Linked DNA regions of Drosophila melanogaster. The protein of the gene in region 2 interacts with the protein of the main gene of each other region in a pairwise test. Each region holds a gene or a part of one and is shown on either strand. Other genes may lie near its edges.

The links. The genes of interacting proteins can lie anywhere in the genome.
Region 1: the proteins of CG14739 (region 2) and CG9106 interact in a two-hybrid assay, tested with the Drosophila melanogaster proteins (one large-scale study listed by BioGRID).

The regions. Positions count from the first base shown.
Region 1 is NC_004354.4:15,269,408-15,275,658, forward strand, and holds CG9106 (uncharacterized protein), read right to left. Parts: upstream 2,999-6,251; 5' UTR 2,580-2,998; intron 2,508-2,579; 5' UTR 2,424-2,507; coding exon 1,992-2,423; 3' UTR 1,629-1,991; downstream 1-1,628.
Region 2 is NT_033777.3:12,045,980-12,051,884, forward strand, and holds CG14739 (uncharacterized protein), read right to left. Parts: upstream 3,235-5,905; 5' UTR 3,153-3,234; intron 3,094-3,152; 5' UTR 2,994-3,093; coding exon 2,373-2,993; 3' UTR 2,274-2,372; downstream 1-2,273.

The sequences.
Region 1 (6,251 bases), on a different chromosome or scaffold from region 2:
CGGATGACACGTAATTGGTGTGACCAGGGCACAGGAAGTTTCGGGAGAAACAATTACGTTGCATTCGTTGCAAAGTGTGATCAGCAAACGAATAGCTGGAAAAAGCATTCACATTTAATTACAACTTTGGATAATGTACAACATACAGGCAATTGAAGGAATCAATTGTACAATAGTTTTGCAAAATTAGTGTGGCCAGGCTGTGAAAAGTTGTCACTTAACTGTTTGCCTTAACGGAGAAAATAATTACACGAATGTAATTAGTTGATGTAAAAAGGTAGTTGTAGCACATTTAAGGCTCCTGCTAATTCAAATCAAAACGATTCCCTGCGAACCTTCGAAATTATTTTTGAAAGCACCAAAACACTTTGGTCACACTTAGGTAGATACCTTTCATACGATTTGATTCGCTATAGTTTCTCCCCCGCTGGCAACGCTGCGTATGCGTAATAATTTTTTAGTTGCGCCACACCCGACACGAAGCCCATGGCAATGCAAATAAATATTCAATTGCAAATGGCTGAGGGGGCGGACAGTACACTCCTCTCTTAGGCTGTATTTTTTTTTTATTGTTGGTTTTTTTTTTGCTATAAAAGCAAGGGAGAAAGTAGGGAAGGTACACGCGAGGCGGACGCGCTCAAATTGCAAATTGCGCTCGTTTACAAGCGAAATAAATGCGCGAGCGCCTGCCATTTGGCAAAAGTCAGCCATGCTCCACACACAGATCCTGACCCACCGCATTTTCCGCTTTTCCACCGATTCCCGCCGCCAGCGAATGGCATTAGAAAAATGAAGCGTCGTGCCGCAAAAGACAAGTTGGTCGTCGTCGTTGCCTCGCTCGACTTGCTTGGCATTTTTGTGTTGCGTGCTTTTGGGCGCGTAATTAGATAAGCAGCCAGCCTGGATATGGGTCCTGTTTATCCATGCCCCAGCTCCTTGCCGTGTCCTGGCACGGTGTCACCAGCCAGCCAGCCAGCCAACTGAACAACCAACAAGCCGCTGACAGATGGAGCGTCATAAAAGCGGCAACAACAATGCGCCGCAGAATGTCTGAGGTTAGGAATAGCGGCAAAGTGGTGGGGCGGAAATGGGAAATGGAAAAGCCGAGACAAGACCAACCAACCAACCAACCAACCAACCGACCGACCGACCAAGCGAGCGAAAAGGGAGTGTAAAGCGGTGACGGGGATTTGAATTTGTCACGTGGCCGGCAAACGCACCTGGGCACAAAGGGGCGGACAAGGACACAACATGCAATTATACGCAATCAACATAAATCATTCAAATTGCCACGCACACACACACACTCGCAGAAGAGGGAAAAATAATGGTAAAGAAAAGTCGAGACGCACTTCAAAAGGGGGCGGCTGTCGGTGTGGGCGTGGTGACCGTTGACGTTGGCTTTTGGCTAATTTGCAATTGAAATGCCCAAATTCTGTGGGCTGGCCGCATTACGCATACGCCGTGTGGTGTCTGCGTGGCAAAGGCTCCTTAAACTTCCGCTCAGTCCATTCATCTTCCACCCCCGCATTCCGAGTCGACTGACAAATGCCACAGGGGCACGTGAAGCGGCCAGTGACCAAGGTAAATGGCACCCATACTGTCCATAGAGATTTCTTTATAAATTTCCTTTATTTTATTATTATTTTTTTTTATTTTTTGCAATTAATTACGGAATAACCTTGCAGATTCGTATACTATTTCTAGTAATTGCTGCCTTCGGAAAAATCACTTAACGCCAGGAACTTAAAATTTAGAGCAGGGAATGTAGCAAGAAAAAACAATCGACGTTATATTGCCAATGCCACGTATTTGGCGAATACTGAATTCCTAGATTTTGCCAACAGTGCCAAAGTTCAAATGACAGTTGCCATGGTCCAGCTTATAAACCGTACAAGCCAAACGGAGCTAATCAAGAATCCATCAAAACCATCGTCCATGTGCGGTACACTGCAATCGCTTCAACGAAGAATCTGGTTTATGCATCACCATCAGTCGAACAGAACGTCCATCGGTATGCCATAAATCTCGGCCAGCTGCAGTTTGGTGTAGGCAACAACGCCGCTGGGACAGTAGGCCATCGCCTCCTCCAGAGTGACCCACTTGGAGCTTGACTCACCGGCACATACCACATGCAGATAGACGATACCATCGAACATCTCATGGCTGATGATGCCCATCAGGTTGCTGGGGGTGCCGCTACTGACGTTTCCGGCGGTGTTGCCACTACCGTTACCATCACCGTTACCGTTACCGTTTCCGCTTCCGCTTCCGTTTCCGCCAATGATGTTGCCGCTCTGGCTCCCAGCGCTGCTCATTCCATCGCCGTTGCCACCGTCGCTGCCGCCACCGCTGCCGCCACCCACGCTGCTACCGCTGGCATTGGCGTTCGAAGAGGTGGACGGATTCAGATTGATGACCATCCTGGAAGGGCAGCGGTTCGGGATATCTATGAGGCAAATATCGAATGCAGCCAATTAACTGAGTGTATTTATAATTATTTGGATCTAGTAAGCCGAAAAGTATTTCTTATATATATTTAACAACAATACTTATATTATAAGTGATAATTAACTCACCTGAATATAAAACTATCAAAAGTGGAAAAGAAATCGGATTGGAAGCAGTTATCAAAGTGGCTCAATACTGAAGCTTCGTTGCTGGTTGCTACCTTTGGCCTTCTGGACGGGATGGTCCGTGGTTGGATTCTCGGTTAGTCCTTCGGAAACCGTAAACTTTGAACTTTGAACCTACGAATTTTGTACTTTGCTCGGTGCGATCCAATGAGACTCTGGTGCAGTGATGTGCTGCTTAGGGATCTGTTATACACTTCTCGACGTTCAAGTCGCACGCGATTCTAGTGCAACTCTCTAATTAGCTAGATACAATACCAAGTTATGATTTTTGTTTCGCTGTTTGATTCTTTTTTTTTTCGATTTTCCTCTATTTTTTTTCACTTTTGTTTAAACGGTGTGTGTGTATTTTGTGTCGATTGTGTGTGTTGACTACCTAGATGATTTTAACTTATGAAATGAGCCATGACATTAATCTGGCATTCTTTTCAAAGCCAGCTGGTACATTTTGTTTCGACGATGAAATGAGAGACACAAATATCGCGAATATTCAAGATTTTGGTAAATTAATAATTCTTATGGCTATTTCATTAATTCATGACACTGCACATTCTAAGTTAGACTTTAAAGTAAGTGCAGTAAGTGTACTATTTAAGTGCAAAAAGGCAAACAAAGTTTTCAAGGATTTTTTTTTTTAGTGTTTTCCTCAGAAAATCCCCATACCATTCACAATTTTTTGACATCGCCCGGCAACACGGGTGTTTATGAATGTGCCATATAATGTTTTGCTTCTGCCAGCAGCACCAAATGAACTGAACAAATAAAACTTTCACGGCAAAGTTGTTGACACGGCAGCCTCCTCCTCTTCCGATTTGCAGCTGCAATTCCTCACCTTCATGTTCACGCTTAGCTCTTTATTTACGATTGCAGGTGCAATGCGGGAAAAGTGCAGGAAAAGTATGGGAAAAGTGTGGGAAAAGTGTGGGAAAAGTGCGGGTGTGGGCGAGAGGAAAAGCAAAGTAAAAGCACCAGAGCTGAGTTTAAGTCGCGGGAGCAGGGGTCCCAAAGCAATTAAATCGCATTCGCCGTGTGGAAAGCAAATAGGATTCCGGGTGGGGCTTTGAATGTGGAGTCCGGACAGAGACAAACAATCAAACGGAAATTAATTGCGGTATGTGTGAAAAGTGAAAGCCAAAAGCTGTTCGGTAAATGATTGTCGAGCAGCGAGTTTTACCCCGGTTTCCCCACGACGACTTTAATTCTTAAACCCTGATTGATAGCTAACCTCGTCCTGGAGCAATGACTTCTGCTCTCCAGCTCTTCAGAATCGAAATGAAACCAAGATAGTATGCTGACATCCGAAAAGAAGTAAATTTTTACCACTGCATAGCCACACAAAGCGAAAACTTTTACACAGCAACCATGTAATAAAATAAGTCTTCAGAATTCGATGGGTAATCTTTTCAGCTGCTTTTTGGTCATTCAATATATGCTTTTCGTATTTAGAGGCATTTTGCTTACTCATTGAACTTATGTATGTGAAACACAGCAATTTTCCACACTTGTGTCATGGCATTGCCAAAAAGCGATAAGGGCGAAGGGTCGAAGTTTAATTAATACACCATTACGTGCTGTTTTTGGCCAACAATGGGTGGGTAAGCTTACCATTCGTTTTGAGATGCGTTGCAGCCCAATTTTGTCAACGTGGCCATAGCTGTATCCACATCCGGATCCGGTTCACAATGAGACGACGACTCATTGGACCGGCAGTGAGTTATATCAAAGACACTAGAATAACAAGATGCGTAACGGCCATACATTGGTTTGGCACTATGCAGCCACTTTTTTGGTGACGGCCAAAATTACTCTCTTTCCGCTCACTCCCGCTGAGAGCGTAAGAAACCTAAAAATATAATTTGCTTGCTTGTGTGAGTAAAAACAAGAGACGAGAACGCGTATAAGTGTGCGTGTTGTGCTAGAAGACGATTTTCGGGCCGAAATCAATTCTGATCGAAGAAACGAATTTACATGGTACATATTAGGGTAGTTTTTGCCAATTTCCTAGCAATATGATAAAATAAAAAAATTTTTTAAAATTCGCGCCCTGACTATTATAATTTTAAAGCTTTTTAAATTTGTTTGTTAAAATTGCCGCTCGAATTAGCTACCGTTTACACATTTATATTTATGTTTAATTCTAATTTTTCTCTCATCTGACAATTTTTTAAAAGCTAAATATTTTTTTTGAAACACTTTTAATGTTAATGTTACATCATATTAAGTCAAATGATTTAATAAATATACTAAATAATTAAATATGCAATTAAATGAAATTGCAAAAGTAATATCAAAGACAATAGAATTATTCTAGTGTCTTTGCTTTGTTCATATCTTGAGGCACGAAGTGCGGACACAAGCACTCAACAATCATTACCTTATTAATTTTTCACACGCCGCAAGATGAATACTCTAATGACAAATATTCTTATATAAAGTCATTTTTGAAATTTATTTTTGTGATAATATGTACATAGATTTGAGTATTTCTAATCTATTTTCAAATAATAATAACGTTAAGGCAATGCAAAACAAGAATTTTTCGCATGGTGCCAATTGATCAAAAATAATATAGATTTAAAGCCAAAGAACTTCTAAGGTGAAGGGCATATTTTTTCAAATTTACAATGCATGTGAATACGTGTGCACACATACAGATGTCTGCTATCACTTTGTGCGTTGAAAAGAGCTGTTCGCTGTAGCGCTCTTCGCTCTCTCGCTCTCTACCAAAAATTCGAGAGAGCCTGGAGCCACCTCTAGAGCCACGGCCAAAAAATCGTGTGCCAAAAAATCGTATGGCGTTACGCATCTTGTTATTCTAGGGTCTTTGGTTATATCTTCATGAAAGATTTGACAGTTGCACCAGCAGTCGCACCCAAGGGGCCAAATTGAGTACGTGGAAGGAGTATCGCCTCCATTGCCTCGGTTACACGCCTGGTTTGACTCCAGCATCCGACGCTGCACTGCTCTGCGCCATCCAAGCGTTTCATATTGCCACCTGCCACCCAACTGTGCCACATGCCACCAGCCACCAGCCTGCAACCTGCCACCTACCATCCCACTCGCTACCCACTTGCAGTCGCACTCAGTTCATAATGCTGTCAAGGTTGAGCGATGCTGAAATATTGAAGCCTGCCCTTTAAATATTCACGATATTCGTGGCTTGATGGGCGGTATTGGCGTTGGCTTTTGCCCGAAGCAGGTGATGCCGTAGTGAAAACCGTCAAAATGCCGAGCATTAACTTGTCAACTTGGTTGAATTCATTCTTAGCTGGCAATCTGCTCAAAAGTATTTACATTCGATTGCCAACAGTGGCATCGTCATATGCAGCTATAGAAAATGTTATAATACGCACTTATCTGACATTATATTTGTAACTTTACGTTTTATGAGTAAGTGTTTACATATCTGTGATCTATTTTGCTTGTTGGTTGGTCTTCATAGTGAACATGTGTTGCATTGCATTCACCAAGGTGAGCGATATAGTGTGACCATACAATTGGTAAAATATAATTTTAATAGAATATCCGACAAATATTTAGAAGATTTCAAGATAAGAAGAAGATAAGAAGATTTGTATTTGTATTTGTATTATTTAGTAAAAGGCATAACCTAGTTTC
Region 2 (5,905 bases):
AGGTCCTTCGAGGAACTGGAACACATGTCCTTTGGTTGTCAAACAGGGCGAAAGAAATAACTGGCAAGCAGTGGAACTCCTTGGCCAGGTGGAGGGAAAACCCCAAATGCAAATTGTATGTCGGAAAGTTGGCAGTCATAACTAACTCGGCGAAGACGACGACCGAATTTTGTTTGCCAACAACTCGGGAACTCTCGTGAAAGGACCCGCTCCTTAATGAGAATGTGTCCAAGGGGGGCGGGTTCGCAAAGATTGTTGTGGAGCGTTGTCAGCACTGTACCACTGCAAACTTTCCATCAAGTACAAGCGAAGTGCCTGGTTTTCATTCCCAGTCACGCCAAATTGTCAGCAGCTAAGAATTTGGCATGAATACTGGAATATAGGGACAGAAGGACTCATCCAAAGGGCTGGAGACAGTACCAGCCTGGCGGCAGCTTCAATTTCATTAACTAAGTGGTCCATACCAATTAAGTTTTGTGCATTCTGGAATAATATAAATTAATTAGAATATGCTAATGAGGCTAGCCTCCGCGTGGCTATTACCGTGCAGAGTCAACTAAACTCGACTCGCCTCGCTGCGAGTCAATTGACTTGAATAAATTAGCGCTAGCGGATGCATGCTCAATTCCAGGACAGTTGGCTTTAACCGTCTGTTGACCCATTCAGTTGGCCATTGAAAAGTGCTTTCAGCGCCTTTCTCAAGGATTTTTCGTTTAAGTCATAGCTGTGCTCACAGATGTCTGGCCCAAAATGTTTTATCGAAGTTGTTTGATTGATATACATTTTATGAAATTTCAAGCCCATGTAGATTGCTCCTTTGGGGCAGTTCTAAGATATTGCCAGTAAACATTTACCTGCAATTGGCAGGCGAATGAAACTTGTTTGATCCGTGCAACATAATATGCTTTAGGGCCAAAAATTAGATTAAAACCCAAGATGGTGGACTATAATTAAAAAATGAAATTAAATATAAATTGAGTGTGTGATTACTTTAAGAATTTGATGGACTTTTAGCCAGAAAAACCCAAGTTTAAGCAAAATTTAATGAACGCCACGTGTTTGTACCTCAAAGAGAACAAAAGATCTGTCTCGGACTGCATTTCGTTCCTCAGACCGAATCGTTTTCAATCGAATGTCTCACTAAAGACATCATTTCGTTGTGGAAATGTGAAGATAAAGTCATTCAGAGTCGAAAATGGCAACGACTATTGCATAAATTCGTTCGAAGAGAGACCAAGAGAGTGAGCCACATCGTATTCTAATTCGATGGCAGCACACGCAGACAGGCAGGCATTCGACCTGGCCGAAGCCCCTGAAGCCCCCCAAGCTCCGTCCTCATCCTCGGATATCCAGGATTGTCTGCGCAACTGTCTGGAACACTGCACTCACATTGGCCATGGTCTTTGGGACTGAGAGGCAGCGGGCAGGTAGGTGGCCAGCCATTCCATCAGAGATTCAGACCAGGCCAAGTAGTAGGCGTCAATAAAGCCAAATTCACGTCTCGGTGGCCCCCTTCTCCACATTACCGTCGTATTCAACCAGATTTGGGGACAGGCAGACGAATTCATTTCGTCAGTTTTGCGAATCATCACTTATCCAATTTTTGTCCCACAGATATAGATTGGCCTGCACCCTCAATCGAGTCTCAACTAGAAGGTTGTACAGACAATAGAATCTCCTCTCGAAATGCAAACAATTAATGATTGTTTGATAGCCTTTAAGTTTTGGTTTAAATTGACAACCGTTACTCCCACTCCACAATCCTATCAAATACAATTTATCAACCATTTACCTCCATTGTTATGGCTTTCAAACTTTGAACTGTCATCTAGATAGGTTCAGCCTCTTGGGCTTTCAAAAACAATTGCTTAAATAATTATCACAATTAAATCGTTGTTTTCACATGACTGCACTTTTGAACTGAACCACATAATAGGATTAGCAAAACCTTTCTGGCATTTAGCCTAATCAGACAAATTAATCAGAAATCACCTGTTTGGAGTCCTTTGGACGTGTTGACTGGAGTTGGCATCACTTTTAATTATGGTCATTGAATTTCTAATTGTCCTTAATGGAGCGAAATTAATTTCGTATCGGAACATTACAGCAATCTGGTTTCATCCCACTCGACACAATTAAGGCGCACAATTTAATATCAAATATTTCTTCAAGACATTGGACAAGCCATAAAATTGTTAATTGTCATAAACGTGTGATGGGGAATATCTTAAATTAGAAGGGGACTTAAAGCTGTTAAGAGATACGAATGGGGTACATTATTACATAATTTTACTTAAAATTTCGATATATTTGTCCGTATACAATCTTTTATCATACACAGACACAAAAAAGACCTCCCGAATACTCAATGGCTAGCTTGATCCTGGCAGGGCAATGTGTGCGTTGTTCCTGTTTCCAACATCGTCATCATCCGAGTCCGTTAGCAGGTCGGATAGACTGAGATCCGAGGAGCGTTTCTCGAGGCCCTCCTCCACCAGTTGTCGCGTCGGAAGGTTGGCGGGCATGGCGTACGTCTTCATGCAAAGGATAACGTGCTCGCGAAAGAGTTGCTCCGAGTGTTTCATGATGGCGGCGGCCCGGTGATTCAGTGAGTCGTGCGGATTCGGGTAACGCAGCAGCTGTGGCAGAAAGGTTTCGAATATGTTGACCAGGTCATAGCTGGATGACCAAGCCTGCTTAAGGACATTCATGCAGACCAGGCCCGTGATGAACTCGATGTTTGGGTGCAGGATCTTGGTGACAAAGCGAACGCGCGGTGCCGTCAACGGATAGTCCTGCGGCATGGTCACATTTACCGTCCAAATGCCACCCTCGTAGGCACTGCCCAGTGGACCCTCGAGGCAAACATTCAGGTTGGTCATGTCGTCGTCCACGGTGGTGCGGTAGCCCGACGCCAACAGCCGGTTAACATCCCGGTCCAGACGGCGCCCCGCCATCGGCAACGTCGTGTTCACCAGCAATTGCTCGGCCATCTGTATTCTGGCGTTCTGTCCTGTGCCGCCACTGAATCGGATCTACTGGTATTTTGAGTGCACTCGTCTGCTACACAGAGGTACCTTCAAAACTATGCAGCTGGTGGATAGGTTAGTTAATCACCATACGTGAAGTTGTAAATAAGATTTTATGCTTACATAAAATCAATCCAGAATTTTGCTCCTTTTTCATTGAAATTTAATACAAATATGAATAAACCTACCGCCTACTCTAACCTACCAATCAAAATTAGATTACAAATTTTAAAAAGCTTTTCTTGCTGAAGTTAAATCGGATACTTAAGGATGACATTTAATATGATAAATAAAGAAAACCAATTTCAGGACCTTTGAACTTGTGTATTTAGCATTTTTGTAAAAAATGTTACAATGTTATTTTTTGGATATTGGTCAGCTGCCAATTTTCAAAAACGCCTAACCCAAATCGATAGCCTGTGAAAGTGAGAATTTATAGAGTTTTTTATTTCCTAGTTTTGTTTTCTTTCGGACTTGTCGCATTGCGTCTAAGCGGATTTTGGCTCTGGGCCGAGCATTCATTAATTGGGCGTGGGTCAGATAGTTGGGCGAAATATTTTGGCCGTAATGCCAACTGCTTGCAATTGGACACCGGGGAACCAGTCGAATGACCCAAGGCAATGACAATTGTGCACAAGAAGGATGAGCTGTGTCCTTGCAACCGAAATCACCCACTTCTATAAGTGGACATTGCAAGTTGAATGCTTTTCTGACTGCTGGCAATAAATCAAAGATCGTCTGCTGGCGTTTCCATAAAGGAAGCTGTGATAACTCCAATGGTAGAGCCAGAGTGCGAGTGCATTAAAGTTAAATGGACTCGGACTAAATGCTGCAAATTGCTGCCATAGCCAACAGTCATGGATACAAACACCCGTATCTAAGGGATTGCATATGTATCTGCGCATCTATATTTGTATCTCCATCTGTATCTGAATCTGTATTTGTGCATCTCCTACAATGGTCGGAGCTGAAACAATGGTAAATAACGACTAGAAAATTGTAAAAAATGTTGACAATGTTTCTCATGGCTTGCGAATCCTTTGGCCCGAAGCTTTATTTTTTAGTGCGACAGTAAATGCGTCACTCTTCCACACACCCCCCCCCCCCCGCATTTTAAACCACCCTCAGTCACATCTCTCCCTGTCTTTTTCAGTCTGGGTTTGGAATGCGCTTTGTTGCAGTTTTCACAGTTGAGTGCGCTCATTGTTTTCGCTGTCAGCGAGCGGCGCGTCGACAATGAATAATTAGAATTTTGTTGAAGGTCCATTGCTCATTTCCCGAACCCCTTAACCCCCCTTTAACAAAATCCATGGAATAAGCCCCGCCACTGTTTGCTGGGGCCAATTCATGCGACTTTTAATTTGCCAGCCATGGACAGCAAATCAAACAAAACCGATTTGGGATTACAATGAAAAAACGCTTTGAAACTCGGTTGAAATATCTCAAAAAGGAGTTGGACATCGCGTAACAAAAACGTCAATATTCAATATCTATTTTATCAGCTTAAAATTGAAATTTATTTGGATAACTTAATCTGGCAAATATAGAACCGAAGACGGTTTCACATTTCAAGAATATTTGTTTTAAATTTTGTACTTATGTATATTTGCAAATATAATAAAAAGGCAAAGCAATTAAAATCTGATTAAAAGATTCAATAAAAAGTGGAAGTTAGCTATACAAATCAATAAAAAAAGCTTAAATTCCTTTATCTAAAGTAAAGGAATTTCAATATATATACCCTTGGCATTAAAATTCCAGACTAGTTGGCCTGCCATCTCTCCCTTTTAAGTAGATATAAAGTAAATATAAACCAACTTTCGCATTGAATCCGCAGGCGAGCAAGCAAAAATGGAAGTAGCCACGCTTCAATGTGATTTTCGAGTGCATAAATAAAATCTCAAATAGATGCCATTAAGAGCTTTTTAGCCGCCATTAAAGCAATATGGGAGTCCCCGCCCCGACAACCAGTTTCAGACTATTATACGAAGAAATACGATTATCGCGTAAAATTAACGCGAAATTAATGCAAACTACACGCGGCAGCCCAAGGATGACTCTCAGAAAGTACCGGCCGGGGGGTAAAATGGGTGGGTTATCTCCTTGGCAAAGGCATTAAGGAGTAATCTCAACATGGGCGTTAATTTCGTGAATTGTAATCAACTGGGAGCGGGCACCGTAATGAAGCTGTTATGGCACCCAAGCATTGACCACGTCAAAGTCAACACTTCAACAAGTGAAAACAGCGAAACCCGACGAAAAAAAAATTCCTTTACTAGGCTCCAAAACAATGGCCTGGTTCAAACAGTTGGGAGCATAGTCCCTTTTTCTCTCCAGCTCCACCCAATCCACGAAATTTCAAACAATGGACCACCTAAAACAATGGCAAGCGACAAAAGGTAACCGCGAAAAGGATAACTCAAAAGCCAGAAACGTGGAGGACCAGAGTTCCAGCACCAGTCCAGAATCCGGACTCGTTCGGGCCAGAACAGGGCAAACCGCAACCGCAGGTCTAACCCGCTGGCATTTTGGCAACATTCCATAACTCAGCCCACCGCCGACCCGATGTCATCCCATGGTGGCGCCCCTGGAGGCATTCTTCACTTCCCCTGTGAAGGTAGTGAAATACACACAAATTTGTGAAATTAACTTGATAATTTTTAATTAAATTTCACAGCAGGAGTTAAAATGAACAACAAATTTTAGCCAATAAAGAAGGAATTAAATGGCATTTTCGTTGTCATCGATTACAAAGTTTGCATTTAATCGAATATAATATACGTTGATTTACGCCTTATTTTGGATTAGCAGGGATTGGTGTTTTTTGAATGCCGTGGCTTTTTGGTCTTAATTTCTAATGACAAAAGCTTTAATGC